4 linked regions of the Arabidopsis thaliana genome follow. The protein of the gene in region 4 interacts with the protein of the main gene of each other region in a pairwise test. Each region holds a gene or a part of one and is shown on either strand. Other genes may lie near its edges. The genes, in order: AT3G60080, WRKY7, WAT1 and RING.

What was found.
Region 1: the proteins of RING (region 4) and AT3G60080 interact in a protein complementation assay, tested with the Arabidopsis thaliana proteins (one large-scale study listed by BioGRID).
Region 2: the proteins of RING (region 4) and WRKY7 interact in a two-hybrid assay, tested with the Arabidopsis thaliana proteins (one large-scale study listed by BioGRID).
Region 3: the proteins of RING (region 4) and WAT1 interact in a protein complementation assay, tested with the Arabidopsis thaliana proteins (one large-scale study listed by BioGRID).

Annotation. Positions count from the first base shown.
Region 1 is NC_003074.8:22,185,772-22,193,608, forward strand, and holds AT3G60080 (RING/U-box superfamily protein), read left to right. Parts: upstream 1-1,503; 5' UTR 1,504-1,863; coding exon 1,864-2,784; 3' UTR 2,785-3,163; downstream 3,164-7,837. Other genes in the region: AT3G60070 (Major facilitator superfamily protein), read right to left, coding at 16-170; AT3G60090 (VQ motif-containing protein), read left to right, coding at 5,087-5,560; CSY5 (citrate synthase 5), read left to right, coding at 7,117-7,167, 7,251-7,304, 7,421-7,462, 7,593-7,658, 7,749-7,814.
Region 2 is NC_003075.7:12,567,239-12,576,085, forward strand, and holds WRKY7 (WRKY DNA-binding protein 7), read left to right. Parts: upstream 1-4,299; 5' UTR 4,300-4,691; coding exon 4,692-5,467; intron 5,468-5,569; coding exon 5,570-5,695; coding exon of another isoform or gene 5,696-5,699; exon of another isoform or gene 5,700-6,048; coding exon 6,049-6,208; 3' UTR 6,209-6,535; downstream 6,536-8,847. Other genes in the region: ACBP3 (acyl-CoA-binding domain 3), read right to left, coding at 13-124, 217-322, 657-1,516; AT4G24231 (uncharacterized protein), read left to right, coding at 1,637-1,786; MLO13 (Seven transmembrane MLO family protein), read right to left, coding at 7,770-7,937, 8,027-8,087, 8,171-8,238, 8,335-8,541, 8,630-8,720, 8,820-8,847. UniProt on the Arabidopsis thaliana protein: Transcription factor. Interacts specifically with the W box (5'-(T)TGAC[CT]-3'), a frequently occurring elicitor-responsive cis-acting element.
Region 3 is NC_003070.9:28,335,439-28,344,381, reverse strand, and holds WAT1 (Walls Are Thin 1), read left to right. Parts: upstream 1-4,106; 5' UTR 4,107-4,290; coding exon 4,291-4,505; intron 4,506-4,602; coding exon 4,603-4,665; intron 4,666-4,742; coding exon 4,743-4,859; intron 4,860-5,118; coding exon 5,119-5,539; intron 5,540-5,633; coding exon 5,634-5,785; intron 5,786-5,898; coding exon 5,899-6,100; 3' UTR 6,101-6,194; exon of another isoform or gene 6,195-6,600; 3' UTR 6,601-6,656; downstream 6,657-8,943. Other genes in the region: AT1G75490 (Integrase-type DNA-binding superfamily protein), read right to left, coding at 7,717-8,337. UniProt on the Arabidopsis thaliana protein: Required for secondary wall formation in fibers, especially in short days conditions. Promotes indole metabolism and transport (e.g. tryptophan, neoglucobrassicin and auxin (indole-3-acetic acid)). May prevent salicylic-acid (SA) accumulation.
Region 4 is NC_003075.7:10,711,002-10,719,001, reverse strand, and holds RING (SBP (S-ribonuclease binding protein) family protein), read left to right. Parts: upstream 1-4,256; 5' UTR 4,257-4,366; coding exon 4,367-4,422; intron 4,423-4,510; coding exon 4,511-5,369; 3' UTR 5,370-5,592; downstream 5,593-8,000.

The sequences.
Region 1 (7,837 bases), on a different chromosome or scaffold from region 4:
TAGATAAAATTGCACCTAGGGGAGAGACCAATTTGGGTCAAGAATAGGAGGAGGTAAGTGAACCAACAAGAAGCAGTAATGTCATTAAGCATATGCCCTACTCCATAGAAGAAGACAGACCATCTTCCAATGGGTTTTGTGAATGGATCCTCCTCACTTCCTCCGGTCATTTTCTCAACCGCTTCGAAATTTTCCCCGGAATAAAGTGAGGATTTTTAATCAATCTGGACCTGGGAAACCCCTAGCAATAAATTATCAAACTCCTCAATAAGATCTAATTGAGCTAATCAGAAACAAAAGAGATGAAAATTGAGCTATCAAACCCTAAATCAGGAAAAAAATAGGAACTTTCAGACCTAGAAAACAGAGGAAGGGGAAATTTTCAAACCCATGAAGGAGTAAAAATCAAAGGAAGGAGCTTTCACATACCCAGAATCAACTTCAAATGAAAGCCCTTGTGATGAGAGATTGATCTATAAGAAACCTCAAAAGCAACAATTTCTCCCCCAAAGGAGGGAAAAAGAAGGAGTAAAGAAGACAGAGAAAAACTTGTTTCATATTGAGCACTCTCTCCACTAACCCTAACTAATACCTTTCTTCCAACGTCATTATGTGAGTCATTCTATGAACATAAGACCTTTTCTTTTACCTTGAAAAAATAGTATTATAAAATATTGGAAATTGAAGTGATCAGAGAGTGAATGAGAGAGGCAGGATAGTCTGAGAAATCATGCGGTCATGTCGGTTTCATTTTCCAGATTTGGTTATGGCTTTTATGGGTGACTTTTGGAATTTTGTTTGCAAGGGATCAGTTAATGGATAGAATCTTGATAGCAATTTGTCAGAGATTCTTTTAAAAAAGTTGTAATTTTTTTGCAGGCAACTGGAATCTACTACTAAACGCTTGTAACGCCCATACTTTCATTAGATAAGAAAACAAACAATTAAAAGCTCAAATCTTTATGATTGTGATTTTCTCACTTTCCTTATTTTATTGCTTGCTTACACGAGAAGGCACGTTGTTGCAGCATCAACATTTAAAATGCCACTAAAAAAATAAATACGTCGCCTGACAGATTCGAACTCTCGCGGGGAAACCCCATGTACTTAGCAGGAACACGCCTTAACCACTCGGCCAAAGCGACTTTTGATGTTTTTACACGTTATTAGATATTTAAATGTGACTACTTTGCTATACATTTGTTTGTCAACTGCCCTCATATATCAAAGATTAGAATACATCATACGAGATTACAATAAACAAATGTACCGTATATAACTTATATAGTATCGCAGATTCGATGTTTGGCAATTACTTGGTGACTACATCCAACGTTGTTCGTTTGAATATCACGATGATCAATGATAGAAAAAAAGATTACGTTTTAAAATATGGTAATTAAGAGCGACCGCTAGAAAACGAACAATAGAAAATGTTGTATATAATTTGATTACTTGTTGCAGTTGTCAAACGAACAAATCTGTGATTTTTTTGATCTAATAGAGGTATAGCAAAGTAGTTATCATTCACACATATGCATACTTATTATAATCAAACAATATTATCACTAGCAAAGTCCAATTAGTAAGTGCAAAGACTTGTAATAAACTTCAAAGAATAGAGAGACCCACTACCAAACCTTCCGAATAAAGCCAAGTAAAATGGTAGGCCCTTTATAAACCAACTTTAATCCATTTTAACTTTTATATATTAAAAAAGGGCCTTGAAAGGCTTTGAAACCAATCATAAACCCATTATCACTAGTACTCAACCACAACCACTAACTTTTGTTTCTCCTTTCCTTTTTTTCTTCTTTCACATTTTCTCTTTCTTTCTCTCACAACCACCACCACCACTTCTCAATGTCGTCTTCCACCACCACAACAACCACCGTCCACGGCGAGCCTGAACGACGAACTTACTGGTGTCATGAATGCGATATGAGTTTATCCCTCCTCTCCTCCTCCGATTCCGATTCCGATTCCTCTCCTCTGTTATGTCCCCAATGCCGTGTCGATTTCCTCGAACGTATGGATCACGATTCTTCTTCTTCTAATCTCTTTGACGTTACCATCGGTGATTTTGAAGAACAAGACGGAGAAAACGATGATGAAGACGACGAAGAAGATTGGTGTTTCGTTGATCCAGCTGTTAATTCCGATGATAATTTCCTCCTCGATAGTCCTTACCTTCACCGTCTTCTTCGTCATCTCGCTTCCGATAATTCAGGATCGTCTTCTTCTTCCTCGTCTTCATCTTCTTCTTCGTTATTGAAATCTTCAGATATCGATTCGATCCCCACGATTCAGATCTCGTCTTCTTTGCTCTGTTCCACCGATGATTCAGATCCAGATTCCGTTTTACTCTGCGCCGTTTGCAAAGAGGATTTCATCATCGGAGAATCTGCTCGGAGATTACCGTGTAGTCATATATACCACTCCGATTGCATCGTCCCTTGGCTCTCGGATCATAACTCGTGTCCGCTTTGTAGATTTGAGCTCCCTACGACGGCGAAGGTGGGAATCGGTGGCTCAGAGGCTGAGATGAGAATCAGATTATCGGATCTGGCTACGATTGCTGCAGATGGTGATGATGTGGAAGATGATTGGCTTGGAATCAGAAACGCGTTGAGAAGACTGGCTCGTCGTCATGAGCAGATGAGATTGGGAGTGGGAGAGATGGAGAGGAATTTGGCTAGGACTGTTTCAGGTCTTGGAATTGGTATGAGAAGAAGAGAAGAGATTGAAGCAGACAGAAGCAACGTCACAACGACGCCTTTGTAAGAACGATTTCGAAATTCAAATATGAGTTTTTTTTTTGTTTGCTTCAAATTCTCAGCTCTCTGTTTATTTTACCGATCGGCGTTTTAATCGATTATTGATTATAGTTACAATAACGAGAGTTTTTTTTTTTTCTTCATGTTCAATTGTTTTTACTTTTTAGACAAATGTTGATGATCTCTTTGCTTTTGAGTTTTGTCTACTTTCGATACAATAATTGATGAAATAAACGTAAGTGTAATGATTTGTTCTACGTTTTTCATTTCTCGACTTTCTGATACGGTGAGTGGTGACTGTAGTCTGTTGATCTGGTTGACTCTAATAAAAATAAAAGTGAATACAAGGCCCACCAACAAAGACAAAATTGGGCTGAGAATCTTGGGCTATAAGATGATTAAAACTTGATTTTTAACCAATTTTTGTTTTTGGACCTTTTCGCATGTATCTGTCTTTTGATTTTCAGTTTTGATGATTTGATTTTGCTTCTTACAAAAGAATCCCAATTGTTCGACTAATTGTGGTTTTAAACTAGTACTACAAATTAATAATAATAATAGCTCTACTATATAGTTGTCATTAACAAAACTCTTCACCCTTGATGATGTCTTCTAACCAGACCTGCTTGAATCAAAACACCATCACCTAAAAAATAGGATGGTAGGAGCCAGTGGTTTTGGTGAAATCCTTCTACCAATGCACTCTAAAACATCTAATTGTATGAATTATGCAATGATTGAGACACTAGTGATTCTAAGCAATTTTCTGCCCTTTTAGTTTAGGTTTAGGATCAAATGATATTTTGGTTAGCAACAATTAATAGTTACATTAGATAAATAATACGAAAAACATCTCCCTGTTAGACAACAACAAACTGAAAATAAAGGATTTGACGTAAAACAAGTTAGTTTATCATGATGTGAAAAACAAATTGATCGAGTAGAAACTCAAAGCATCCAAAGAAAGTTGGATCAACGGTTGTATAATTCAACACATGGTAGTTAGTATAGGGAGATTTGTTTCACTAGTTTTAAGGAGAGTAAGTCAACAATCCCGCGTATCAACATTAAATAATGACCAAAACAATACGATTTGTTCTTACAAAAATATCATACAGCTATTGTTAACTACAAATGTCAAATTCTTGAAATTTTATATAACCGAAACACGCTAATGTCAAACTATGATCTATTTAAATTAAATAGATAACTTTGACCTTTAAATCAGTTGATGCAACATTCAAGTAGTGAACAAAAAAAAATCGATTGATGTAACTAATTATACTTATTTTACTAGTTTGGATAAACGAAATTGTCTGACCTAGTGACCTCTCCATATGATTAGTGGCCGCTTTTTTTTTGGATAATTAATTAATCTTTTTTTTTGGGTCAAACAATTTTGGATTTTTGATCCAAGGAATCAAAACATCAAAACAAAAAGCTTTGCACGTGTACAGATGAGTCACATATCACGTCCGACGAGTATCTGTCGTGTTTATTAAGTTATTAGTATAGGGCACACGGAATTTGTTTTTCTTTTTGTCGGTTTATCTAATCTCTTAATTCCGAAACAAATGTAATTTTTTTACTATTAACGATGTTTACCATAGACAATAAATAATTACATTTCACATATGCTCCGTGAAAATTACTAAGACGAATTTCACATATGTAGTGAAAGATTGTTTTAAAATATATGTACAACTCCAAGAAACCCTATCTCCATAAGCCATGTAACAAATTATTATTATTATTATTTTGGTAAAGGACATTTTAACAAATTCGTAAATAAAACAAAGTCAAATTCACCTCCAAAGGTTAAGTCGACGACCTATATTATATAGTCAACCACATATATTAAATAAAACATCGCTCACGCCATCTACTCATATGTATGTTTTTACTTAATTATATAGCTAATTGATTATATGATATATCATCAGTTGGAAAATTAAAAACCATTTTATTCCGATAGCGTAAAAGAAACAGATCATTCTTTTTGTTTAAATTACAATTTATTTAACTCAAGTTGTTGAAAAGTGTGTAATGGAAGGCAGGTCCATAGCTATTTCGTCTTATATTTTTAACTATTTTCATTTTGTTTGTCTTTAAGAAATAGTATTTTATTAATGTTTTTTTACAAACCAACAATAAAACTGTATATTCACATTTTGTTTTTTTTGTGTATATATATAGAGACATATAATCCACAACATATGCATATCATTTCCCAAAACAATACAAGAAACCTGAAATCCAAAAAAGAAAAACCCAAAATCTTCGCTTCTTCATCTTCTTTTTACGTTTATATGGTGAGAAATTCTATGAAGGCTGAGTACGATATAGATCATCTTCCTCATCAAACCTTTTATGGTGATTATTCAAAAACTTTGGTTCCCATGAACAAGAACTCCCAAATAATAACCAAGATCAAGCCTAAGATCCGTATCATCCATATATTTGCTCCCGAGATCATCAACACCGATGTCAAGAACTTCCGCACACTCGTCCAAAGTCTAACCGGGAAACCGGAGATCACCAAAACCGGTTCTAAGAAAAAGATAACCAACACAAATTTTCCTGCGCCACCGGGTTTGCCTCAAGATTCCGGCCAAGAACATACGGCTGAACTGGACAACAGAATAATAGGGAGCCACGTGGTGAAGGAAGAATGGGGATCAAGTTCAAACACAAATACTTACTTTGATTTTGACGGTTTGATCGATCTTGATGAAGACGACAACATATTCTCAAGTCGATGGTTTGATCTTCAACAACAATAATTAGTTTGGTCACACCTTACCCTAATATGTAGGGTTTCTACTAATCGTAAGTCCTGTTGGTTTTGATGATGATTTGATCATTTATTCGATATGGAGCATAACAAGACATGGGTCAAGACAAGACCAAGGTTGAGACGATGATCATCTATATAGGTAGGAACATACATAACTTGTATATATGTACAAATGTTTGGATTTTTTGGGCTTGGGTGCCCTTTGATTTAATTTGTTAGACTGACTTAATTTACCAAGAAAGAGTGTAGTGATGAGTTTGTAGACTGATTTTGCCAAGAAAAAGTAAGTTTGTGTTTTGATCTCCGATCATGTGAAAACTCTACTTAAAAATGGTGTAACGTTGTACTCACGCGTGCGTGTGCAAGTTTTATATATAGAAAAGCGAGAATGATATTGTGATTGAATTTTTTAGATTGTTCATTTTTTTTCGTCAAATTATTTTGTTTGTTAATTCATATATAAGTCATGTTACTTACAACAAATTGTTTGATAAAACAAAAATGAATTCCATTAAACTGAATTAACGAAATACTATAATGATAAATGATTCTTACATGACTCTAAAAGAGTTTCGATTTGAATATATAAATGAATAAAGTTCTGTTTTATTGGCGATGTTCTTGATATATACCTTCAAAACTTTATGGCTAAATTACATTTTAACTTCTCAAAACGTTAGATTATGAAAGGTGGACTCACATTTCATAAACATTAAAATGATATGGTAATATGATTATAATGAGTTGTAATGGATATATGTCATATTTTTCCAATCTCATTCATTGAAATATCAGTTTATTTTTTGGATGACATAACGATCAATAGTGTCATATAATATGATATCCAATGTTTTAATATTAACTAGCTATAGCTATATCCATCATTGTTAATAGTTGTGTTACATCATTAAATAGTATTTCAAAAGAATATAAAAATTTCTGATAACTAATGGAGAATGAAGAATATCAAACCGCCCATTCGACCAAGAAATTATAATAACGAAGTTTATAACTTTTTTTTTCAATTGTGAAATGTCATTTTTACTTTATTTATTTCCAACAAAATAAAATTATGTTTTATCTAAACCCTTGGACTTTACCAAGAAGCTACTTTTTTATTTAGCAACAGCAAAAGCTACATACCATTTGTTCTTTATTTATTAATGACCGTTTTTTTAGGCATTAGAATCGTTACGGCTGCTTCGAATCTTGCGTCTCACGGACCGACGGAACTAACCAATCTCAACCGAACCCGAACATAACCTGTTCGTTTGGTTTTCTAAATGGTAATCAATTGGTTCATTATACCGGTTTGGTAAGAAGAATCCGTGTGTTTGGTTTACATATGTTGTAATTTGACGCTTGTTCATCACGTTGCAGATATATCTCAACATCTCTCAATTTTTCTCTCTACGTTGAAGAAACTTTCGAATTTCCCGTTAGTTCTTCTCCACGCTTTCTCTTTCCCTTTATCTCTTATCTGGTTAAGCCAATCTTGATTGTTTGGATTCGTAACCGATCAGTGTTGTGAGGTTTGAAAGAATGGTGTTTTTTCGCAGCGTATCAGCCATTTCAAGACTACGGTCTCGAGCAGTGAGTAGATTTAGCTTTCATCCTTTTTGTGTTTTGTTTGATGTGATACAATTTGATGATCAGATCTAATATAAGAAGCACAGGTGCAACAATCCTCACTTAGTAACTCCGTCAGATGGCTCCACTCTTCTGAATTGGTACTTTCTTAGGTTTTCATGTTCTCGTGATCATGCGGTTCAGTTTGAGAACCAAAAATTTGGAATTTTACCTTCTAGGTTTTGTGTTGATGTTGCTTAAAATGATGGTAATGCAGGACTTGAAGTCGCAGATGCAAGAGATCATTCCAGAACAACAGGTTTAGTTTCTACTTCGTTGTGATTGAGATTGTTTCTAATTTTAGGGCAGATTTCATGTAGAGATCAAGCTCTTCTCTCTGTTTTAGTTGATGTCATTTCTCATACACAAACACAACTTTCAACTTTCAGGACCGTTTGAAGAAACTGAAATCAGAACAAGGAAAGGTTCCAGTGGGGAACATCACCGTTGATATGGTACGGATTCTAATGATATTTGTGATTACACAAAGGCTTTATCTTTTAAACATACTCGTATATATAGTTTTACATGTGGTATTTGTGAAGGTACTTGGTGGAATGAGAGGGATGACTGGATTACTCTGGGAAACCTCATTGCTTGATGCAGATGAGGTATGGTTATAATTTTGATCACA
Region 2 (8,847 bases), 1.9 Mb from region 4:
CTTAGGGAATACCATTTTTGCTGGATTCATCAACACCAGTTGTGACTAAGTTGGTCGGATCTTCTAATGATCCTGAATTCGGAGGCAAGCCAACAGAGGTTTCCATTTCTGACATCTTCCCTACCTGTTGAGAGAGCAAAGTCAAAAGTTTCTCAGACCTCAAAAGCCATTAAAACATCCAGGTGATATTCAAACCCTCAAGATCAAACAACTCACAGTATGACCAGCTTTCGTCAAACCAGGGATTTCCTTTGAGACAAGTGCAAGATACTGCTCCATTGCCTCTTCTTGACTCATGTTTCCAAGTTTTTGCCACGCATTCCTAAAGAACAAGGTAAGCACAATTTGTCACTCCCACATAGAACTTGTTGAAAGATACCATAAAGCAACTAAGCTATACAACAATTGCTGATTCTGTCCTAATTAGATGATCAGAAACCTTTTAAAACTTTATCCCTCCTAGTTTCTAGTGTATGGAATCTATTTCCATATCAGTAATATGACCTGCAAAACTCTGCAATAAAGATTTCTACCTAACCACTTTTATCAGTCTTACACCACAAAGTTCTCTCCTTTATGACGTTCACATTACAAGTATCAATTACCAATCTGAGTTGCAGAGGAAAGAATTCAGAAACAGTGGAAAAGTATGGTACCATTTGGCACGAGCAGAGATCATGACGGCCATAGGTTGTGCCTCTCTACATGACCCTTCAGTGGCGATCTTGTGAAGGCCAAACAACTCCATCTTAGCTTCAGCACCAATTTCTTCAGCTTTCCCGGATTCTTCCAAAAGATTTACAGCAGCCGCAAAGGCTTTCTCAAGTTCACTCCTCTCAATTCCTTCCCAATCATCATCTTCTTCAATAGTCAACTCTGTTTTCTCTTCATTCTCTGCTTCAGCATCACTCTCCTCCACCATATTACTACTCTTTTCAACTCTAACCTCCTCAGATTCAGCGACTAAGACATCTCCACCACTTTCTTCGTTTTCTACGCAACCACTTCTTCCTAATTCTGTTACTTCCTCTTGTCCTTGACTCTTAATCTCCTCCGCTACCACGTTTTCCGGCGAGACAGAAGAAATGGACTCAGCTTCAGCCGAGTCGCTCTGTTCGTCCTGTCCTCGAACTAAGATCACCTCCTCGGCGATCACATAATTTTCCGACGAGGCTGCAGCCGAGGACTCAGCTTCACGGTCACCACAGATTTTAGCGTTTCCAGTAACAGCTTCATCGACTTCATAAACTCGATCAGCTTCTTCGCTAAGAAACCGATCGACAAGTTCCACATTCTCATCAACAACTTGGAAATTCCTCTGGCTTTCGAGAACACGAGCATCCATCTTCATACCAAAACGAACATCCTCTGTAACACCGACACCGATCTCGGGCTTGAGCGGCTGATCAGAACTCAAATCGTTCTCCACCGTAGCAACAGAAACGAGCTTGGCCAAAAGGAAAGAAAACAAGAGAGCAACAACCGCCGTGAGAAGCATCTCTAAGAAAACCTCCATGATCGAAGAAGATGATGAAAAAGGAAAGTAAGATACTTAGGATCTAAAGAAGAAGAAGGAGAAAGGCAAAGAATGTAATTATACGAAAGGTTAGAAAAGAAGGAAAGGAAAAAGGAATAAATGAGAGACAAAGAAGAAAGCATATTCGGCTTTAAACGGGAAGCGGGTCCGTCAATTATATTTTCTCAACGCCTAACCGCTATGACTGCTGACTTGGCTCTTGCGGTTTTATTCTTATCCTCTTCTCCACCTCACCGGCTCCTTCCTTAATCCTTATGCAGCGCGCCGCTTTTTTTTTTGCTCTCACTGGATCTTTGTCTTTGGACTCTTTACAAACTAAAATAATGATTGGAAGAGTTTTTTTAATTTTTTTTTTTTTTTTTTTTTTGGATTTTCGTATGATAAAAATCTGGCTTTTAAAAAACACACTTTTATGAAAACTAATTTCCTTAATTTTGATTGGATGTTTAGTGAGTTTTTTTGAAATAACAAAAACCAGCTCATTGAAAATTACTCCCATTCCAAGCTTTAATGATGCTGAAATTAAGTTATAGTTTTGAATGGTATAGAAATGGAAATAGAAAACAAGACCAAAAGAGAGATTAAAGGTTTTTGAGGTAATATGCAAGGACAGTTCATAGTTTATTTGGGCCTTTACAAACAAAACATGGGCCTATGTTAATGCATAATATGATAAGACTAAGGCCCATGTCTTCCTACCTATTCACCTACATGGCCAAACCCAGTCGATAAGTTTGTGACGGAACCACAATCATGACACTCGTCCTTATTTGCTCAACTACGGTTAAAAAAAACTTGATAAATGGGTAACAACACACTTCACGAAGAAACTTAAAAATCAGTCTAACGAGGTTTTCACTAATAAAAAGTTTTTGTTTCTTTCCCTAACGACTTTACCAAACAAAGAAAGGCAAACTTAACTTTGCCAAAATTACTAAAATCACTGTCGCACAACAAAAGTCTCCTCTTTGTTTTTTTCTTTTCAAAATCTCCTTATATATCAGAGTTGATAGAGCATTTATTAAATCAGTATGTGTGATTTATTCTATATTCTGCATAAATATGTAATATTTTTAGCATCTTTTTTTTTTTTTTTTTCTCATAAGTGTAATATTTTATTCATTTTATCATTACCAGTACAATGCTTGGTTATGAGAAAACCAAAATAAAGCCCAAGACATCCCACATATAAAGGCTCATACGACACAAAAGAAGAGATAAGCTATAGACGTGTCAGACCAATAATAATAAGCTAGGGACACGTGGAACGTCCACAACCTTCACTAGTCCTGGACAAAATATTCGTTCGATCCGCTTTAACTCAATATTCGATTTGATTTGATTCGAAAAATCCGAATATTCGTAAGATTTTGGAGCAAAGCAAATAGAAAAATGTAGTAATCGTAAAAACCGAAGCAAATAACAAATACTATTTTTTCTAAAGTCGGATATTCGCTTCGATCTATATATATATATATATATATATATCACAATATAGGTTGTGCATTTGTATATGTTGGGATTTGGGCTTGTATTTGTATCCTTTGGGCCTGTGTTTTTTTTGTGACACAGTTTTTATTAGAGAAGTGGAATTTTTTAAAATAAAATTGTTTTATTTTTTATATTTTATCCTAAAATTGTCGTTTTACTTTCCAATCCATCAAATATAAGAGCGACATTTCTGTTTCCTTTCTTCGACCTTTCACTATTTTTATCACTCAATTTGGTTACAGAATTTATAACCAGAAAATTTTCAGTTGCTCTCAATCTCACACTCGTAAGTCATAAGGTAAGAAATTTGAAATCTATGTTAAATAATTTATATAAAAAAATATTTGGATGTAGCAAAGCAAAGCGGATATCCGACAAATATCATACAAAAATCCGGATATTCGTATTTTCGGATATTTGGAAATTTTCGGATCAAAGCAAATAATAAAATTAAGTATTCGATTAAAACGAATCGAATAACAAATATCCCAAATTTTCCGGATATTCGCTTCGTGCCCAGGCCTAACCTCCACTGCACATGAGACTCAAGCCTGGTGAATCAGAAACGTCGTTGGAAAATCACCGGTCAACGAGACTTCTTTTTTATCACCAATTAAAAGTTACAGAACAAACATCAATCTCCTAATCTCATCCGATTGCAAGAATCACAAAGGATTCGGCAAAAATGGGTAAAAGAAATTAGAGAAAACTGAGTAGTTCAAACTTGTCTAACAATTAAATCTCTTGCAAGAACAACAAAGGCATATCTTAATTGCATAGGAAACGAGCTTTGACCTAACCTTAGTCGTGGAGAAATTGAAACTGTCTTAAACACAGTAGATCCAAACGAACCTAATTGTCGAGAACGCACACATCGCCGGAAAACTGTTGGAGCCAAAAAAAACAGAACCCAACGGTGAAGCCAATCAAAGCAGAAAGAAACTAAATCATGCGAAGAGAACACCTCTTCGGAACTGAAGATTCTGCCTGTCATAATGTTTCATCATCAAGATTTTAAAGCTACAAAACAAAAACAAATCCGAAGAAACCGAATTCAAAATTGCCCAAAAAGAAATCTAAATCCCGATCAACGGGAGATAATAGCCGGAAAAAATCCAGATAACGGAAACCGGAAGAAACCCGGACGGCGATTCTAAACTTACATCGGAAAAATCTTTCTCTGAAAAATACTATAGAGAGAAGAGAGAGACCTTCCTCCTTTTAGATCTTTCTTTAATTAAAAATTTAATTTTTATATTTTTAGCATCTAATCAGCCTCAAAAATATAAAATATCTTAGATTTTTCTCGAATAATAATAACGAATATATATATAATTCGAGCTCCACTTGCTCCAAATTTAAAATCATTGACGCTGAGGAGTGTCAAAACGCTTGACAAATGATCACACGTGTAAGCCTATGAGTGGTGGTCGATTTGACTGATGCACTATCAACACATACCTAAAGATATAGAGAGAGAAACGCATATCGTTGACTCTCCCCCTTTTTCACTCTCTTCATTTATTCTTCCCCTCATCATCATCATCATCTTCTTCTTTAACCAAAAACACAACTTACAAGAAAACTGTTGAATCTTTGTATTTATTTACATCTCCTTTGACCTTTAATAAGAATCTGAGTGGTTGGTCTCTGATTTGATGAGATGACTGTTGAGCTGATGATGAGCAGCTACAGCGGCGGCGGAGGAGGAGGTGATGGTTTTCCTGCAATCGCCGCGGCGGCGAAAATGGAAGATACCGCTTTGAGAGAAGCTGCTTCTGCAGGGATTCACGGTGTGGAGGAGTTTCTTAAACTGATCGGTCAAAGTCAACAACCAACGGAGAAGAGTCAGACGGAGATAACCGCGGTGACTGACGTCGCCGTTAACAGCTTCAAGAAGGTCATTTCTCTACTCGGTAGATCTAGAACCGGACACGCTAGATTCAGACGAGCTCCCGCGTCAACGCAAACGCCGTTTAAGCAAACGCCGGTGGTTGAGGAGGAGGTGGAGGTGGAGGAGAAGAAGCCAGAAACAAGCTCCGTGTTAACAAAACAGAAAACAGAGCAATATCACGGTGGTGGATCTGCGTTTAGAGTTTATTGTCCAACACCAATTCATCGTCGTCCTCCTCTATCACACAATAACAACAACAATCAGAATCAAACAAAGAACGGTTCGTCTTCTTCATCTCCTCCGATGCTCGCAAACGGAGCACCGTCAACGATAAACTTTGCGCCGTCACCACCAGTCTCAGCGACGAACTCATTCATGTCTTCTCATAGATGTGACACCGATAGTACTCACATGTCATCAGGATTCGAGTTCACTAACCCATCTCAGCTCTCTGGTTCGAGAGGTAAACCTCCTTTATCATCAGCTTCGTTGAAGAGAAGATGTAATTCATCTCCCTCAAGCCGTTGCCATTGCTCCAAGAAAAGGTTTTGATTCAACTTCTATTATTAAAAATTAATCTTATTTTAGATCTAAATCTTGAGATTTGATTAATAAAACGTTAATTATAATTTGTGTAAAAAAATCAGGAAATCAAGAGTAAAAAGAGTGATTAGAGTTCCAGCAGTAAGTAGCAAAATGGCTGATATACCATCAGATGAGTTTTCATGGAGAAAATATGGTCAAAAACCAATCAAAGGCTCTCCTCATCCTCGGTAATTATTTTTTACATTTTTTACCATCGATATATATACTCTACACATACATCACAATCACTCACTAGATTCAACACCAAAAATCAAATATTGGCTAGAAAATTAAGCAACTTGTGTATTGTCAATATTAGTACCAGAGAGATTGTCAATATTGTTTTTTTCTATATCGGTTGTACCAAACATGTTGTCTAGTAGTACAGTAGTGGGTTCAGTTTCACGCTCTTTTTGACTTGTTGTTTCCTATAGAATAAATTTGAAATAGAAAGCCGAGAGTTAAGTTGACTATTTCTTTTCTCATTAATTAATAAGAACTCGAACTAACTGGGGAGGACTCGGTGTAATGGTTATGACAGGGGATATTACAAGTGCAGCAGTGTAAGAGGTTGTCCGGCGCGTAAGCATGTGGAGCGTGCACTAGATGATGCGATGATGCTAATCGTGACGTACGAAGGAGACCACAACCATGCTTTGGTTCTCGAGACGACGACGATGAATCATGACAAAACTCTTTAGTTTCTCGAGTTTGAGGGGAACTGTCTGTGTGTGACCACTATCCAGATTAGTCAACGACAGAGTGGGCCCGCACTGCACTTTTTTATTCTTTTCTTTTTGAAAAGCTTTTGCTTTATCTTTCTTTTTGATTGGAGGAAATAGAGGGAGGGGAGATAAAGACGAGAGAGGAACGTTGTGGATCTTGATGGAAGTTGAATCATGTGAATGTCCTTTTCTGTTTATTTATTTCTAGGATAATATATATTTAGTGCACTATTTTTGTCAAATCTCTGATTCTTTTCTTACTTGCAGAACTATTTGAGTTTTTAGGGAAATTATCAGTTAATTTAGATTCAACTGACCATAATGCTATGCTGGTAATTGGAAAAAATTGCAATTCAAATTTCGTTAAACAAAAAAAAAAAGAACTATTTGTAGATTACATAGTCAAATCAACTTAACACACGTTTATAGAAACTAGAAAAGTTGTCGATCAAATAATAAGTAGCTCTAATAAGTATTTATTTCAGCATTAGTGAAAAACCTCAGATGCAATGTCGTTATCCTTTTAAGTGTGTTTTTTCCAACAAAGTTGACAATGTTTATGATTATGTTAACGGCTATAAATTCAAGTGTAAAGTACTTCAACATTTAGTAAAAAATTTAAAGCTTTACTACAAAATTTTGTTACCAAGAAAATCAGCTATTCATGCATCATTGCGTTATAACTCTTCAATATCACTTTTAAGTGATGTTTTAGAGACTTTTTTTAAAAAGATGTTTTAAAATTTTTTAGACCAATCATATTTTAGAGTATGTTATCTAATTAGTTAAAATTTGTTTAATTGTATTATATGTAAAAGAGGTAGGATTAAAGTGATACACAAATTATGTGTTTTCTTAATTTGTGTATAAAACCTTTAAACATCACTTAAAGTGATACAAAAAGAGTATTTTACAACATATCCATTAATAGAATTTAAAAAGTCATTCACTTAGTCAAAAAAAAAAAAAAGCATTCCATATTTTTTATTTTATTTTAGAGATTAGTAAAAGAAAACGTTCAAATGCAATGTTATTTAGTATTTTTCTCCCTTACAAAGTTAACGACCTTTTTAGAAATTCTATAACGTCTACAAATCGTTTTAAGTATTAAATTGAAAAATGACAATGAGTTCGAGTAATTTGTTATTGTTAAAATATAAAATTTATCTTATTTAAAAGCAATTCTAAAGTTCTTCTCTTTAGAAGATGGGATAAATTTATCTTATCAACAAAAAAAGGTACTTATATAAAAATTTAAATTTGCCACTCTGAAAAATTAAGCTACATCCGATAACATCATTGAAAATTTAAACGTTGTGAAAGTAAATAACATAGAAGCTTTTTAATTATATATCAATCCATGTATCATCGAAGCTTTCTTATAAAAAGTAACAAGTCAACTTAATCTAGTAGCCTCAAAAGTAGAAAGGAACGTTGGCGTCAATGTCATAGATGCACACAATCCTCTGATGAGAGCTCTAAATGTGAAATAATAAAGGGATAGCCTTATTGGATTACGACACAAATTGCAACTTAATTAAGGGTTTTCACTTTGGACATTATAAGATTCAGGAGTTGTAGGTTGCATCTCTATCCTATGAGCCTCGCTCGTGGATTCGCCTCTGTTCCTCGTATCTTCTAACCATCCTTCCAGTGTGGACTGTACTACATTGTCGAATATCCCTTTCTTGAATTTGCTACCCATCTTTTAAAAACCGAGCAAAACAACAACAACAATTGATTCAAATTTGTTGTGAATTGGTGTAAACATGTGAATATATATGTGTCACTTACTTGTGTAACAAGGGCATATAGTGGTAATGTGCTGTAACTGCAAAGCACTTGGACTAACACTCTGTATGAACAAAGATCGAACCAAAAATATTAATTAGACCTTTTGAAGGTTGATATTTAGATTTAAAAGAGTTCATATATTACCCCATGACGAGTCTTGGGATAAGGTAGCCTAGTTTCTCCATGATACATGAATGTATTCCGTATGTGAACTGATGATACGATGGATAACTCGTAAATAAGAATGCGATGGTTCAAAAATTGTGGAAGATAAAGAAAGTGAAGCTGAGGGTTGAAAGAAAACGTACCAAAATCCAGAAGAAGAAAGCAATCTCAAATGAATTCTGAAAGAGAATGAAATGGATGAGTTGGAGAACAATGCCTGGCCTATGGAACCAAAAGAGTTCATCAGAAGGTGTGATCACTGCTTCTTCCGCGCGGCTTCGCTTCTCGGAAACATCCAAAGCTAAGCTACTTATTATATATTCCAACTTGGCACCCACCATTAGTAACAACTGCATTTTTGAAACACTTTTTAACTATTCAAAAAGATAAAATGAGATCAAAAGTGACAAAAGAGCCCAATCATATATAAGAACTTACAATCAAAGGCAAGAAAGATAACCAGAAGTAAGTGTTCCATCCTCCAACATTGAGCAGCAAAAAGACGACGACAAAGAGCCATAGATACCAACTTTATAATTATGTATGACATCAACAAAAAGGTGTCAGACAAAACTCATTAAGCCATAAATTGGTTTGTCTGTTTAGAGAGCTGATTTGATTATTTTACCTTATGCTCACAACTTTCTTGAAATCTA
Region 3 (8,943 bases), on a different chromosome or scaffold from region 4:
CATGTGAAACAGTGCAGTTATGGAGGTGTGTATACAGTCATTAAATGTGTTCCAGTTTTGCAGAACCGTGTCTACGTTCTTCAGACAATCAGTCGGAACGTTTTATCTTTGTTGATTATGACTGATCACAAGTATTGTCGTAAATAAGTGATAGCATTTAGCGTATCGGATAATTAGTGAAAGAATAAGAGCCGAGTTTATATAACTTGGTCATATTAAGATTCTAAATTTATGCATTAATCTTCTCAAATACCTCTAAAAGTAATTTACATTCTTTTATCTTGGAATTTAGGTTAAAAGCTAAATCTTTTGTGGTAAAGTTCAAAAGTGGAGTGAGAAAAAGAGAAGAGAGAGAGATCGGAGACAAGAAGATTCGCTCGTGGGCGAGCAAAAATGATAAAGAAACGAAATAAAGTGAGGAAAAAGGAGACAAGGCAATTAAATATTCCAACTAAGATTGGTCTCCCTCTTCTTCTTCGTCTGCTCGTTACCGGTTACTATCTTGTTGGGTCCTTACCCGATCCGTTACTGTCTTGCTGGGTCCTTACCCGACCCGTTTCTTTACCCTTTACCGATTGAGAGAGATAGACTTAGATCGAATATCATCCTTTATATATCGGGATCTTCTTTTTCATCCTAAAAAGGGTTTTGTTTTCTTCCTTTTTTAACTAAATAAGGGTTTATCTTCTGTCACAAAGACCAAAAATGCTAATTAATTCCTTTTATTTGTATTTTAACTAAACACTTTTATAAGCACTACTGCACTAGTTCCGGAAATTGGGCTAATTAATAGTGAAACTTTAGTCTTTACCATCAATAATACGCCCTTCTTTTATAACAATTGATGTTTAGTGATCTTTCATATTCATTAAGGAACAAACTAAAAATATTTCATCCTACCATCTACTGATCTACAATAAATTAATTAGTGCCAGTGTTGTGAAATTTTGAATTAAATTTGACACCTTAGTTAATTATGAGTTCAGTGCTTGTTTCGCATAGGTAACAACGAATCATCATTTGAGAATGATATAAAACAACCTAAATATATGCAAGTGTAAATCATGAACCTACGTTATAGATCCTAATATAAACCATATATAATTAACAAACTAATATGTGCTGGATTTGGTATGTCCAGCTGGGTATGTCTTCATTTATCTCTCAAAATTTACTGATACTATAGCTAATAGCTATATCTGAAAAGAGTAATTCCCAATTTCAACATACAATAACAAGATATTCATCAATAAGATCACTTTTACTAGTTATGAACAGTACCTGGAGAAACAATTGATATTTTTCAATTATCTACCATACACATCATCGCGTAAATCAAACCCTCAAATTCTGAATGAATTAGAAGGAAAACTCATGCCAAGACCTCTGGCAAACTACGTATTTTTATTATGATGAAATAATCATTTACAAGAATTGTAGACAGATTTGGAAATCTCAGTATAGTTAATGAAGGGGTCTGCCTCGACAAATGGCATTATGGATACGGTTGAGCATACGTGTACCACTTGCACGGCCAGTTTCATCACATATATACATACTCCTTTGACCTTTCTTAAGTTTTTTTATTTATTTTAATTTAGGATTACCCCGAAACTACACCATAAAATTTGTTTTCAAAAAACGTCACAACCTTTTCTTGTAAGAAGCTTTTCTACAACTAATCTAGTAAGATTTTACAAAACTGTTTCGATTTTTTTTTAAAATGCTGATATCATTTTGAATGTCCCAAAATAATCCCTTCTTTAGGATTACTGGAAATGTTTTAACAAAATTGTTTTAGTGATAATGTTTGTAGCTAGAACTACAACTAGTTATTTATATATTTTGATAAATTTTTAATTTTGTAGGAACAATTTTCTATAAATGTAGAAAATATTTACAGAAGTATGATATTATTAGAAACAATGATTTCTTATACAATTAAAAAACATGTTTCGCTGTGTATTGAGATATTTTCTATTCAATTTTGATATGAATAGCATCTATGTCAAGAACAGAGGATACAAACTTTAGTTTAGGTTCATCGGGATAATGGTAGAATAAATATATTTTATAAAATAGAGCAATTAGATAAATTAGTGTAACGTGAAAGTATAACTAAGTTTAACTAGATGTATTAAAATGTTAAGGTAAATATCTTTGTTATTGTTCATAAAAAAAAAAGATTTTTGTAATAGAAATGGAATATAATGAAGTAATGAAAATTCCATATTGTTATATTTTGTTATGTTTTACATGTTGCTGCATATAGTTTATCTAAAACAGATTTGTGACAAAATAATATTCCATGAACAATTTTTGCCATGATATTTCTTTTGTCGTGATACATTCGTGGAAGGAAAGAAAAATACATATTTGGTTTGTTTTCACGTGGATATGCACATGTTTCTGTGTACAATTTACTAAATTGGTTTCTCTGGGTTTACATTGTCGATCTCTCCAAAAATAACAAGACAAAAAGAAAGAGAAAAATGAAAGCATATACAAGCAAGCAACCATAAAATTTTCGATGATTCTATTCTATAGGGATACAAATGTATTTGACTATTGGAAAACAATTACACACGTCTATTCGATGAGCACAAAAAAATAGAACTAAAATAAATTAACAAGAAAAATAAAACTAAAATAATTGAGGACAAATACAGATAATAATATTGGTGTAAGCGTGTACATAAATATTGATCGTGTGGGTGTGCCTGCGAAATAAGAGGTACTGTGGGTCTCACGGTTCGGCAGTGCGCGTGGGGCTCGTCCCTACAAAATTAATTATGTAACATAAATAAAATCAAGAAATATATTTACCAAAAAAGAAAGTAAATAAAAGATGTTAAAACGAAATGTCGTACATTTATAATTAAGAGTGTTATTCTCCTGAAGACTATACTGTACAAGTAATAATTAGTAGCAATGCCATGCTGCTCAATAAATATCAAAGGAAAGGACAAACTAAAACCATTATAATGTCTACGATAGTGAGTGCAAATTGAGGAATAGAGTCGTAAATAATGATATATTTTGTGCTTTTTCTATTGTTATTTTTACCTTTTTGATTTTCAGAATTAAATGATTTTAGATATACAAAAAATTAAGAATCATAATGATGGTTGCGTTAATGAGTAGTGGCGTGAGGGTTGTCATGTCAGCTAAACAGCAGAAAAATAAAAGAATGTGGGAGACAGGCTTTGCCCTTTTACACATTTTTAAGCTCTCTTCTTTATTTTCTAAAAACACTATAGTACACAGTTAAAAATTTGCGGGCCCTTTGTTTAATCGATTTAGATTTAACCAACAGCTTCATAGTCGTTTCTTCTTGTTAGAAATCAATAAATGAAAAGTTGGTTGTTTTGAAAGCATATAATTAACTAACAATGTATCATGTTGTGAAACAAAAGCTGATGATAAATGTTAAATATAGTGTCCAAAATTTTGGGAATGTCTTCAAATTTTGATTTTAAAACATATGAGATGTACCAACATCCACAAAATGTTTGTGAAGTTGTGACTTAGTGAGACGTTGTCACTTTATTATCTCGTTTTGGTAACGGTAAGTGCATGTGAACGTGTTTGATTATAAGTTTAACCCGACTTTGTTTACGTGGTCATAGTTTCCAATAAGGCTAAGTAGAATAGTGTATGATAGTTTTCAATTCAAGAGTCTTTTTTTTCCAAGAAAATCCGAAAACACAATCGTTTATTTTAATATCTCAAAAGAAATCATATTTCTTAGGTAAAACTATCATACGTTGAGTTTTTCTTTCTCCTTTTGCGATTTTCCCTGAAATATATTTATGTTGTGTGTGTGCTTTGTAAACAAAATAATAATGAACGTAATAATAGTAAAACAAAAAGTAACCTATATTATTATCATACTTGATATAACCCAATAGAGAAATAATAATATAAATTAAAATTTTATTTCCCAATTCAAAAATCATAATCAAGGAGTGAATGCTGCCAGTAGACCAAAGTAACAATATTTGGTGTGTACATCAAATGATAGGAAACAACAAAAACTCATTAATATACCTAAATCCATATATATATATATATATATATATTTCAATATTTCACATTGTTATAATTAGGTTTAATAGATACCATATTAGAAATCTCAGTATGGTGGTTCCCACAAGCAAAGAGGGGAATGAGATTGCTATCTACCTATATTTATATCTCCGCAACTTCACTCTTTTCCTCAATCAACACACACAAACACACACACACACAGCCTTTTTCCTTCGTTGATCGATTGTTAAGCTCGATCCAATGGCGGATAACACCGATAATCGGAGATCCTTATGGGGAGTTCCGGAGAAGCTTCAGCTTCACATAGCGATGCTGACGTTGCAATTCGGTTACGCCGGATTCCACGTGGTGTCTCGAGCTGCTCTTAACATGGGAATCAGCAAACTCGTCTTCCCTGTTTATCGTAACATCATCGCCTTGCTTCTTCTCCTTCCCTTCGCTTACTTCCTTGAAAAGTAACCTTCTATTTTCACTTCACTTCTTTATTTGAAAACCCTATTTTTTCTCTAGTTGCTAGTTATTTAATTACCAAACTTAATTGTGTTAATTTAGGAAGGAGAGACCAGCGATTACTCTCAACTTTCTCATCCAGTTCTTCTTTTTGGCACTCATAGGGTATATATTTATATCCTTCACTCTGATCTTTTCAATAACAAATTTGGATAATTAGTTAATGAATTATTACACGACAGAATAACAGCGAACCAAGGATTTTACTTGTTGGGACTGGACAACACTTCACCAACATTTGCTTCCTCCATGCAAAACTCTGTTCCCGCCATTACCTTTCTCATGGCTGCTCTTCTCAGGCACTTACTCTACACATCTCTCCATTTTCATTCTCTTTTGATTTATAAAAATAAATAACAATATTTTGGACAGCTTGGATATACAAGAACCACTTTAATAATGTCCATTTGACTTTTCAACGTAAAAGAAACGGATAATAATACACGTAGACAATATTTAATGCCGTTTCCATTTGCTTACAAAATAGTGATAATCATAGTAGTAACAACAATGTAACATACTGTTTATGTACTGTATGTGAAAAAAACAATAATTCAGGATTGAGAAAGTAAGAATAAACAGAAGAGACGGTATCTCCAAAATCTTAGGAACAGCTCTTTGTGTCGCCGGAGCTTCCGTCATCACCCTCTATAAAGGTCCAACCATCTACACTCCGGCTAGCCACCTCCACGCTCATCTACTCACCACAAACTCCGCCGTCTTAGCGCCGCTAGGAAACGCCGCGCCTAAAAACTGGACCCTTGGTTGCATCTACCTAATCGGTCACTGTCTCTCGTGGTCAGGCTGGCTTGTTTTCCAAGCTCCGGTTCTTAAGTCTTATCCAGCGAGGCTCTCGGTTACGTCTTACACTTGTTTCTTCGGAATCATTCAGTTCTTGATCATTGCTGCTTTCTGTGAAAGAGATTCTCAGGCTTGGGTTTTTCACTCCGGTTGGGAGCTTTTCACCATCCTCTACGCCGTTAGTTTTTCTTTCATCTGTTATAATTAATTCGTTTTTGGCCCTAATGTTTCAAAATAATCAATTTGGTCCTAATGAATTGATTTAACTTCAGGGAATCGTAGCGTCTGGAATCGCGTTTGCGGTTCAGATTTGGTGTATTGACAGAGGGGGTCCAGTCTTCGTTGCTGTTTACCAGCCTGTTCAGACTCTTGTCGTTGCGATCATGGCTTCTATTGCGTTAGGCGAAGAATTTTATTTGGGCGGGTATGAAACTATAATAATATTAGTGGTTTATATAAATACTTGATAAAATCCAAGGTCCTAAACAAGAATAATTTTAAAATTTGTTGTGCCACATGTCATATTTCTAATGGCAGGATTATTGGAGCGGTCTTGATCATAGCGGGACTTTACTTCGTATTGTACGGTAAGAGCGAAGAGAGGAAATTTGCAGCGCTTGAGAAGGCAGCGATCCAGTCCTCCGCGGAGCATGGTATTGAACGTGCACCTGTTTCTCGCAACTCCATCAAGTCGTCCATCACAACACCACTACTCCATCAGTCAACGGACAATGTTTGACTACTTTGGACAAATCACTCTCCAGCTAATAATTACAAATGCCATTACCCAATTAAAAGGGAACAATGGTGTGCCGTTGTGTTTTATGACTTTTGTGTCTGCTTTTTTTCTTAGTGTTTTCTCTTCTTTTTTTTTTCTAAAAAATTATTAATTACCTAAGAAAGGTTTTTGAAGAAAGGAAAAAAAATGGTGGATGAGACATCATTGTTCATGAGGATGATGATGATGATGATAGTGATGAAGAAGACTATGTGGGAGCTTTGGATTGAGACTTTTCTATATATAATATCTGGCTGATATATTAGTGCCATTTTTTCTTACATTTCTTGTGGGGTTTTTCTTTCCTTTATCATCAATAGAATGTTATAATTTGCATTTATGATCTTTAGTAATTATCACTGTCGGGGATGTTTAAAATGGATTAGATCAAACGCTTTGTTCTGAACTGAAGTAAAAAAAGATCTTTAGTATTTGATTAAAATGATCTCTTAAAGAAACAGTTTTTTTTTACAAATTTAGTTTATTATCAAATATCCAATAAAAATTCTTAACCGAATGAACAAGTTAAAAATAAACCAACATTTAATATATATAATATAATATGGACCAACTAAGTTATAGTATGGACCAATTCTTGAGTTGAAAGTCCATAGATTTTAACATGGTATTAAAGTTTAGCTAACTTGAGAAAGATGTGTTGTTCGATATATAATTTTTGGTCCAATATTAGAATTTTGTTTGAAATAGACGGATAAAAGCATTATTTTAAGGAGAACGTGTTAAAAATTTCACATATACACTTCAATGCTCTACATTATCTTTCTTGGTTTTCTCGGATCAGCTTACACGTCAGCTTTTTACATATAAAATATCATCTTTTAATTTGATGTAAACAAGAAGTTCATTAACAGAATTTCATATCTTATTTACCTTATACAAATAAATTTCATTAACAAAAGAAATTCATATACATAAGGAAAAACACAGTGCATAAGCGACTTTGTCTCATAATCGTTATCTGGCATAGGTTAGTCTACCATGTGGATTCAAGATTTCGTATTTGAATCCATTAGTTAAATCATATATAGCCCGTTATTGGAGACTGGAGACCATATATAAGCCGAGATATAATGATGTTGGGCCGGAATAAACGGGCCAGGTTTGTTATAAACCACGCCATATAGTCTATCAAGACTCGCGAGGATTACACGTTAGTACAAAGAGAAGCTAAGAAGAAGATGCAAAGAAAACCAAGAGAATAGTCAAAGACTTAAAAGCCCATAGAAACAGAGACATATAATAGTTACACATTGACCGTTACACACAACGTAACATCCCGTTTTCTTTATACAGATACATTGCACTTGATTTAATAGTTTTCCCCATGACACATTTTTAGCTTCGAGACAAACAACTGTCGTTTTTATGTTTTTTTTGATATGGTAAGAATCTGCTTTCACACTATACAGACAAACCACATATATAGATGTGCACATATATAAGTACATGTAACTGGTGTTTATTTACATATATATCCTAGTTCACGGTGACTATATTTGTATATATATGTAGTTTGTATATGATAACTTAACAATTAAAGAGAGTCTAGTGACACCTCAAAGTGGGGAATGAAAGGAATCCCAATTAGAATAGCCACCGGAAATACAAGTATCAAACCGAGAAATATCATTATCTCCTTCATGAACCCATGGAAATCCTAACGACATTGTAGCTTCTTCCCATATTGAAGAATCATCCATTACCGGCAAATCCACGTTTATATGCTCCCATGATATCTCCTCTGTCACTCTTCCACATGATGACATCTCGTTGGATGAACACGGCGACTCAGAGTCGCTGCTGCTTTTTCCACCGGTGTTGCTGCTTGGTGTAGTCTGGGACGCCGGAGACGACGCCGTTTTAGGGTAACTTCTTAAGGACTCAGGGAGGTTGAGATGAGCCTCAGGCCCATAGAGCTTACGAGCTGCGGAGTCATAAGCCAAGGCAGCTTCACGGGAGGTGTCGAAGGTACCGAGCCAAAGACGAGCTCCTCGGTTAGGCTCGCGGATCTCAGCGACCCATTTGCCCCAAGTGCGTTGTCTAACACCTTTGTAAGTGCAAGACGCGTTATCGGGTCCACCTTTTCCTCTCATACAACCTTTCCTCGAACTAGCTTGGACGGTTCGTTGTTTCTTATTAGCACCAACCATCATTACTTTTGGCTCTATGGATGACATGTACGGATGTTGATAACTCGAAAGTGATATTATGTGACGACTTTTGGTGAGTGATAAGGCAAAGACATGAGGTAATGGTTAGGTGTGTATATATACTAGAAGAGAGTGATGAAACGTGGCGAGGAGAAGATATAGCTGGCGCAGACATGACGGAGGGTCGTGTCGAGAGGAGGAAGCTGGTGTTGTGTTTGTAATCCTAACACTTGTCTCGAGAGACCCTTCTTTTTTTGGCAACAGTAATCGTAAAACCAGCAGAGAGATTGATGAGTTTGAGATTTTTCCAAAAAAAAAAAGAAAAGAGAGAGAGAGATATGGATAAGGTCATCCGCGATTGGGGAAATATAAAAAGATTTATCACTATGAATTAATGGCTCGTCATGTGAATGCTTCTATCTAATATCAAGCTATGGCTTTATTCATCAGAAAACAAAATCAAGCTATGGCTTTAACTTAATTATAATTTCAAATAGCTAAAAAGAAAGAAAAAAATACATGATTTTTCTTATATATACAAACTTTTTTAATTAAAAAGCCTTTAGATTTATAAAGCTTTTCTCTATGAGTCATGTAATCTCTCCTTTTGTAAAAAAAGAATCATCATCTAAT
Region 4 (8,000 bases):
CTTTATCTATCTTCGTGTTTTCTTTACTTACACGTTGCTTTGCTTTAGTCCGGTTGTTACGTCTGTGAAATTGTCTTTTCAAAACAAAACCAAATTCACATCCCCCATATGCACAATGTTTCGTAAGAAATTTTCTTTTTATGCCGTATGTATACCCAAAAAAAAGTCACACACTCATACTTTGTGAAAAAAATAAGTCATACTCCCATGTTGACGTTTCGGCAAAATCGAGAAGCCCTAAGAAATTAACCTTTTCCAAATAAAATTATCGACTTCTTAAAAATATGTTTGTTGAATAAAAAAAATTCGTCACCTTAACCAAAGAAAAGAACATTATGCGACATTTTCTTTTATTATTACTTTTTCTAAAGAAAAAAGGGGGAGGTGATGATCGAACCAATTTACACCATGAGCATCACTTTTGTGAATTGACGATTCCTTCTAACCAAATAGTTTTACTAAATAATCTTTTTTTTTATCATTAATGCAATCATGTAATGAAGAGAAATAGTGGTGGTGGCTTCGGAGAATCAACCAATCAATATATATGACCCTTTCATGTTTTTATATTTATATTTTTAGACTTGTTTCATATTCATCATAAATATATATAGATATGTAATTATTTATCATAAAATCATAATATACATATTAAAAAACGGATCAACCAGACTAACCCTTAAATTAGAATCAGAATAAAATTAGAAAGAAAACAAAAAATGACCCGTGAACTAAAAAAAAAACGAATCGACCTTATATGTATATGTCATCCGTTAAACTCGTGCATAGACCAAGCCGGGATGGATCAATCTGACTGACACCTACTAGTAGTTGGTGCCGATAAGGATGGACCAATTCGAGTTTTCAAAAGTTATATATGTCGTTCTTCAACTTTCTTTCCGCATTTTTTCTTGTCTTTTTATATAATATGAATGTAAATATTAATGTCATGTCATTATCTGTTGTTAAAGAGAAATAGTACATACATAACACATAGCATATAAAACAAAATGAAAATGAAAAGGTTTAACTGTAAAAGGGACAATATAAACGTAGGAGTTTTTTTTGTGGAAAAAAAAACATCTATGTAAAATTGTCAAGTGGATCAAAATCAAATATTAAGTTCGATCATCTATGTAAAATTGTTGAATATTTGTTTGAGTCTCTATAAAGTATAAACATCTTAGGTGAAAAAAATATCTCGTTGTTTTTATAATTTTTGAAACTTAATTTGAAAAAAATATCTATCTATTACGCAAATAATTAGTAATAACTAATCCGCGACTGAAAGAATCAATGTATATGTTTATAAAATAAAGCAATTGACGACACTAGCTATATACATGATTAGAGAATTCAATTCACACTAGTTGTTTGATTTTAAAAAGTTAGGAGTTTTCATCTTGTCACGTTTCCTTCATATATAGCATGAACTCGGCCACGTACGTCCACATCTATCTTGTTCGTTTGTCTAACTTACGAAATCAATATTAATTAGAAATCCACATATAGAATATAAATTGAAAATGAATTTGAAAACGTATAATGGGACAAATAAGTAGTCTATTCTAAAATGATAAAAAGCTCTGAACAAGTGATGATGTTAGGCTTAGTTTCTGACATTGGAGCAAAATCGATAATTAGACAAACGAATATGTCGACAAAATATATATACAAATGAAGTTGAGAAAGAAAAGACAACCGAAGTTGTCTTTTTCGACGAGTCTGGTTTATCCTCAAAGTTGTTCAGTACTGTTACTTTTAAGGAAAATAATCGTGGTTTGGTCTTCTAAATTGATTTTTCTTTTAATATCATATGTGGAAAAACTTCTATTACACCAAAAAATGTTGTTGAGTTCAAAATAGATATGATGTATCGGTAAAGAAAGACTGAACCGATATTTACACAATTCTCGGTTGTAAAAAGAGATTGAGATCGTCCACTTTAACGTAAGTATTAGGGGTGGGCGCAAGGCTAGTACTTGCTATTTTAGGGATACTTGTTACTCGACTTGCCTTGTACGAGTAATCAAATAAGTAATTGTATTTGGTTTATTGAAAACGAGTACTTACAATTTCAAGTATTTGCTAAAATATGATTGCCTTGCGAGTTACTTGCCTTGTCCTGTTACTTGCTACTTGCGAGTTACTTACATGTACTTACGAGTTACTACTTGATATTCACGAGTTATTTACAAGTATTTACGAGTTATTACTTGCTACTTGCGAATTACTTGCAAATAAATTACTTGCAAGTAACACTTTCGAATTACTTAAAATTACTTATTATTTTATTTATCATATTTTTTACTTATTTAAAATTTACTTTACTTCTAATATAGTTTTAAAATGTGTCTAACACTAAAACAATACAATATATGTATAGAAAATGGTAAAATAATGACGAGTATCGAGTCAAACGAGTCGAGTATTAGTTTTTTTTCATTACTTGTTACTTGATTTGTACTTGCAAGTATCTAAATTATACTACTTGTTACTTGCCTTGTTAAAAACGAGCATTTGTTTTTTCAAGGCGAATACGAATCAAGTAGCGAATATAAGACGAGTAACGAGTACTTATGTCTAGCCCTAATAAATATATATGTGTTTTTTCAATAACTATAACAAAAATAATCGATTAACTCTTTTGTGCTCAAGTTACTATGTAAAAATTGGTATGAACAACATTAGATACGCATCATGATAATGTTTGTTTAGTGGATAAAAAATCGATTAACAATAAAAAAAAATAGAGAGAGGCATGAAAACGAAAATAAGGAAAAGAAAAAGACTATTCGTTTGGTGTGGTCGACCTGTCCCACACCGAGGAAATCACACTTTTATGACAAGACCTACTTGTCCGTACTATATAACATTATCGAATGATTCCGATTTTCTCTTTCCTTTTTTTTTTCTTTAATACGGAAATTACTAATTAAAAATTAAAAAGCGACCAGACGACAATTCAAGAAGCAAACAAAATTGGTGGTACCGAAACAATAAATCTTTTTTATTTATTTCTAAACAATTATTAATTTATTGAAAATTTCACGAAGAAATGAAACAGAAAGTTTTTCTTGGTCCCACTTAGACGTGGCCTCAATCTTCACATCATGGCCCCACACGCTTCTCACGTGCAACTTAACCAGTTACGACAAAACAAAATTAAGAAACATATTAACTTTAGAAATGTATTTACAATGGTTAAATTATTGTTTTGTGCCATTTCGTTTAATACAATGCACCGCTACATGATCTTAAGATAGCTCACGGAAAATTTAGAAAAGTAAATCACAAGTCCCAAATATGCCACGGTGGAAGATGACATGGCAGATATAAAGCGGAGCTTTGCCACATTGAATAAAATTACGAGAGTAACTTTATAGTTTGTAAAATTAAAATCATGGGAATGGTTTAAATTTTAAATAAAATAAAACTGAAGAAATGAAGAGTATGCATATTTAATACTATCTTTTGATATGAAATTTAATTACAGTAATCACAAAATAAGGAAAAGTTAATAAGAAAAATATGGGTTGACTAAAGAGAGGTTAATTTGGAATCTTTTTACAGAAGAGAATACAGTGAACTAACATAAAAATTTTATTAGGAAAGACAGCTTTACACATTTTTAAAAATGCATTTAAGGAAAAAACAGCTTTGCACCTTTTTTTATAGGATTTGCATCTTTAAATTTTAGAAATAATACAAAAAAGGATGGACAAGAACATAAAATCTAATAGTTTTTTCAACAAAAGAAAAAATCGAATAGTTTATGCTAATATCATTAACATATTAGCAAAAAAAAATTTATTGATTTTATAATGGCTCTTTGACTAGTCAAGCTTGCATATGTTTATGTGGATGTTGCTAAGGAAACATGCATGAGTGCATCAATAAATAAGAAAGAAATATTACAAAAAAAAAACTTTTTACACGTCCCAATATTTGCAAACTTCAAGAAAGATAGTATATATTGTTGAATAAAAACTTAGTATATTTTATATTTCTCTAGATTATATTCCTTTTAAGTTCATAAAATTGGTTGTTTCTTTTTCTTTTTCCTTTTACAAAAATCAACTGTATTTTACTAACATTTAATTTACAAAAACTTTAATTACTAAACACAATTGGTAATATACCATGAAAGTCAATATCTAATTTGAATTCATAATTATTCTAAATATCTAAAATATTTAAATAGTAAAAGTAATAAATATGTATTTATAGAAAATTAAAAAAATATTGACTTTTTTCTCTCCCTTAAATAAAAGCCAATCCCATAGATTTCTTCACCAGTCGCCACAACTCCTCCCTCTTCTCTCTCTCTTTGTTTCAGAATCTCTAGGAGCTTTTTTCAACAACAATGGCTGTTCAAGCTCATCACATGAACATTTTCTCTCAGTTTATATCACCAAACAGGTAAAAATCTCATTTTTATATTCTTCTCACAAACAAACTTCCTCTGTTTTTATTTTCCTCTAATCTTTTTTATTTTTGTTATTTGCAGAGATTGTGTTAAATTTCAAGAAAACATGAACCACGGCGAGTTTGAGTTTACCGGCGGTGAAGTTCCGTTAATAACCGGAGAATCTTTCGCCGTTGAGCCTTTAGCTGCGAAAGCCAACTTCAACAAAGCAGAAAGTGGTCTCAGTTACAATTTCACTGTTCCTCCTCTGTCTACAAAACGCCAGCGAGATTTTCAATTCTCAGACTCAAACGCTCCGGTTAAACGGAGGTCCGTAGCGTTTGACTCATCATCACCGTCGTTGATAAACGTTGAACTCGTATCTCAGATTCAAAACCAACAACAGTCAGAGATCGATAGGTTCGTAGCTCAGCAAACGGAGAAGCTAAGAATAGAGATTGAAGCAAGGCAACAAACGCAAACGCGGATGTTAGCGTCTGCGGTTCAAAACGTTATAGCCAAGAAACTAAAAGAGAAAGACGATGAAATCGTACGGATTCGAAACCTAAACTGGGTTTTACAAGAGAGGGTGAAGAGTCTTTACGTCGAAAATCAGATTTGGCGTGATATCGCTCAAACCAACGAAGCAAACGCTAATACTCTTCGAACAAACCTAGACCAAGTTCTTGCTCAACTCGAAACGTTTCCAACCGCTTCAGCCGTTGTAGAAGACGATGCGGAATCGAGTTGTGGAAGTTGTTGCGGTGATGGTGGTGGTGAAGCGGTAACGGCGGTTGGTGGTGGTTGTAAACGGTGCGGTGAGAGAGAAGCGAGTGTGTTGGTGTTACCATGTCGTCATTTGTGTTTGTGTACGGTTTGTGGTGGTTCGGCTTTGTTACGGACTTGTCCGGTTTGCGATATGGTCATGAACGCTAGTGTGCATGTTAACATGTCTTCTTGACCATCTTTTTTTTTTGTTCGTTACAATTTAATTTATATTTTTTTTGTTTCCTTAGGATTATATTCGCAAAAGAAATAGCAAATTGATTCTTTTCTTTTTGTAAGTACATATAAATTAGTTTTTGGTTAACTCTTGATTTTCTTACGACTTAAATGGAATCCAAGACTGAAAATTGCAAAAAAGAAAGACGAAATAATTTGTCGAAGAGAATTTAAAGGCTCCTCCTCTCATTATGTGTGGGAAAAAAAGAAAGAATAAATCATATAAATGAATTTAAAGTGATTCGAAAATGTTTTGAAAAGTAAATATTCCAGAGTTCTTTTTAAGTTGCACCGTTGTTTGGTTGCTTATTCTCAAAGTCGATCACATGAGTTTGAATTATCTACCACCTTTTAAAGATTATCATAGCGTCGATATAAATTGAAAAAGGTATAAAAATGGTCTATGGATATATACTATTGCAATTTGGAAGTATCCTTTATCTTTCCAACCCCGCAACTATATTCAACCAGAAGAATCATACTTCGCTATCGAAACTAAAATAAATTATGATAAAAGAAAAAGAAATAGTCTGAATTCGATTGTCTCAACGACATTTTCAGTTCATAGTCATTATAGTTGTCGTGTAATAAATATTTCATATTCGGATCATGTCATGTGCAGTGCATGTCTAGACAAAATAAAATACCCCCACTAAAATGGATTTTTAAAATTATATCCTATATTAATTCTATAAACGACGAAATTAGAACGATGAATACGATGTGTGAATTCACGAGTTACGATGATTGCGTCCAAGAAACGTTACCATGTCTCTATCCAATAATTTAGTTTAATTTATGTCTTAGAATTATTTGGATCAAATGGCACGAAACGAAATAGTGGCGAAAATGAAAATGGTACGACTCTGCGATGATTCGTACAGAAATTAATTAAAGAGAGAGTTTGAATTCACATTTTTCCATGTCTTCGTTCTTACCCATACTTATTTTTTTCCTTTTGGCCATGCCCCTACATTACGTAGTTACTTACCCTCGCCCAAAGTTTTATGTTATATTCACCTAACCCTATCTTTTAATTTGTTTATACTTTATACGAGTTTGGACAAGGGAATAAGAAAAAATAAATTAGTTAGTGATTGTTGCAAAGATAATGTTTGTGACTAATTGGAGCTTTGTCTAAAAAATTTACTTCCAACAATTCATAAGTATATTTGGATTGTATTCTTTTTTTTTTTCTGATGCGAAATACTCTTATAATTTTAGATATCAGAAAAAATCATGGTTGTTATTATTTGTGGGGACTATAAAAATCTATAAAGCGTTTCTAAAGTCTTAGATATTATTTTAAAGGATAGTTATCGTTTATTTTAGAATAATATCAAACATTATCGTCGTACCATTACCAAACCTAGCATGAATTAGAAGATCCGATTATCCGAATAACAACCAAATACTAGAAGAAGTGATTCCGTAAAAGGGCTGGCTTCTCAAATGGGCTGTTCGGATACTTCCATACACTATCTATTATTTTTTGTCGGTCCATACACTATCTATTAGGCTTTAGATTTCTTAATTATTAGTACTCTAGATTTGAGAGATGGAAAAATATTACACGGCAAGATACCTTGGAGAGAAAAAAGGAACATAGGAATACTATGACATCGTGTGACCAATCCCATTACAAATCTACCACAAGACATGTATAATGTGATAGATTCCATAAGAAAAAAAAACTAGAAAGACAAGAGGAGGCAATCATACGAGAAGATCGATATTACAAAGCACCCGACAACAACATATCAAAAGAATCAGGTAAAACCAGTTTCAAAAATGATCACATACAGAATTTTCGGAAAATTGTGAAATTACTTTCGTAGCCATGAAGTTAATGGCTAGAGTGACTAGACCCGTAACATTACCATATATCATTTGAACTGAAATTTGTTTGTTCTGAGGATTATTTTTCAAGATATCAAAACGAAGATAAGTGGCTGCACAAACTTTTTTTAGCGAATATATCGTTATGTTATCGGGTCTAGCACTCTATCCACTGATTTCATGACCACGAGCCTCTATATTGCGCCGACTTCTTAAATGGGTTTCAATAGCAAATTTCTTTACATTAATTGCTCATCTAATCACTGATCTTGAGAAAAGTCAAAAATACTTATCGTAATTTACATCCAACATCTATAAAAATTGAGTATCGGCCAATTAGTGATTCATCATACGTAGAAACATAGACGCAAACACAGTGCTACAATCGATAAGAAAACTAAATGACGAATCGTAGAAAAGAAAACTTAATTTTGTCTTATAATAGGGACGAAAGAGCCATTTCAACCTTGGAACTAACCTCGTCTATTTAAGATATGTTGATAAGAATTTGTATAATTGTACATTAGTTCTTAGTTAATATATATAATATATATGTATATTTTTCACATGGCGATTTCGGAGATGAAAATTCAAGATCCTAAATTATTTATAGACAGGATATCCGAAGAAAAAAACAATAGAATCTCAGGACAAGACATGTAAAGTGAATGGGTGATATTCTTCCAAAATCGTAGGTTCTCTTCTTCCTTGGCCCTTCCTCATGCTCCATTCATTTTGCAAAATATTTTTG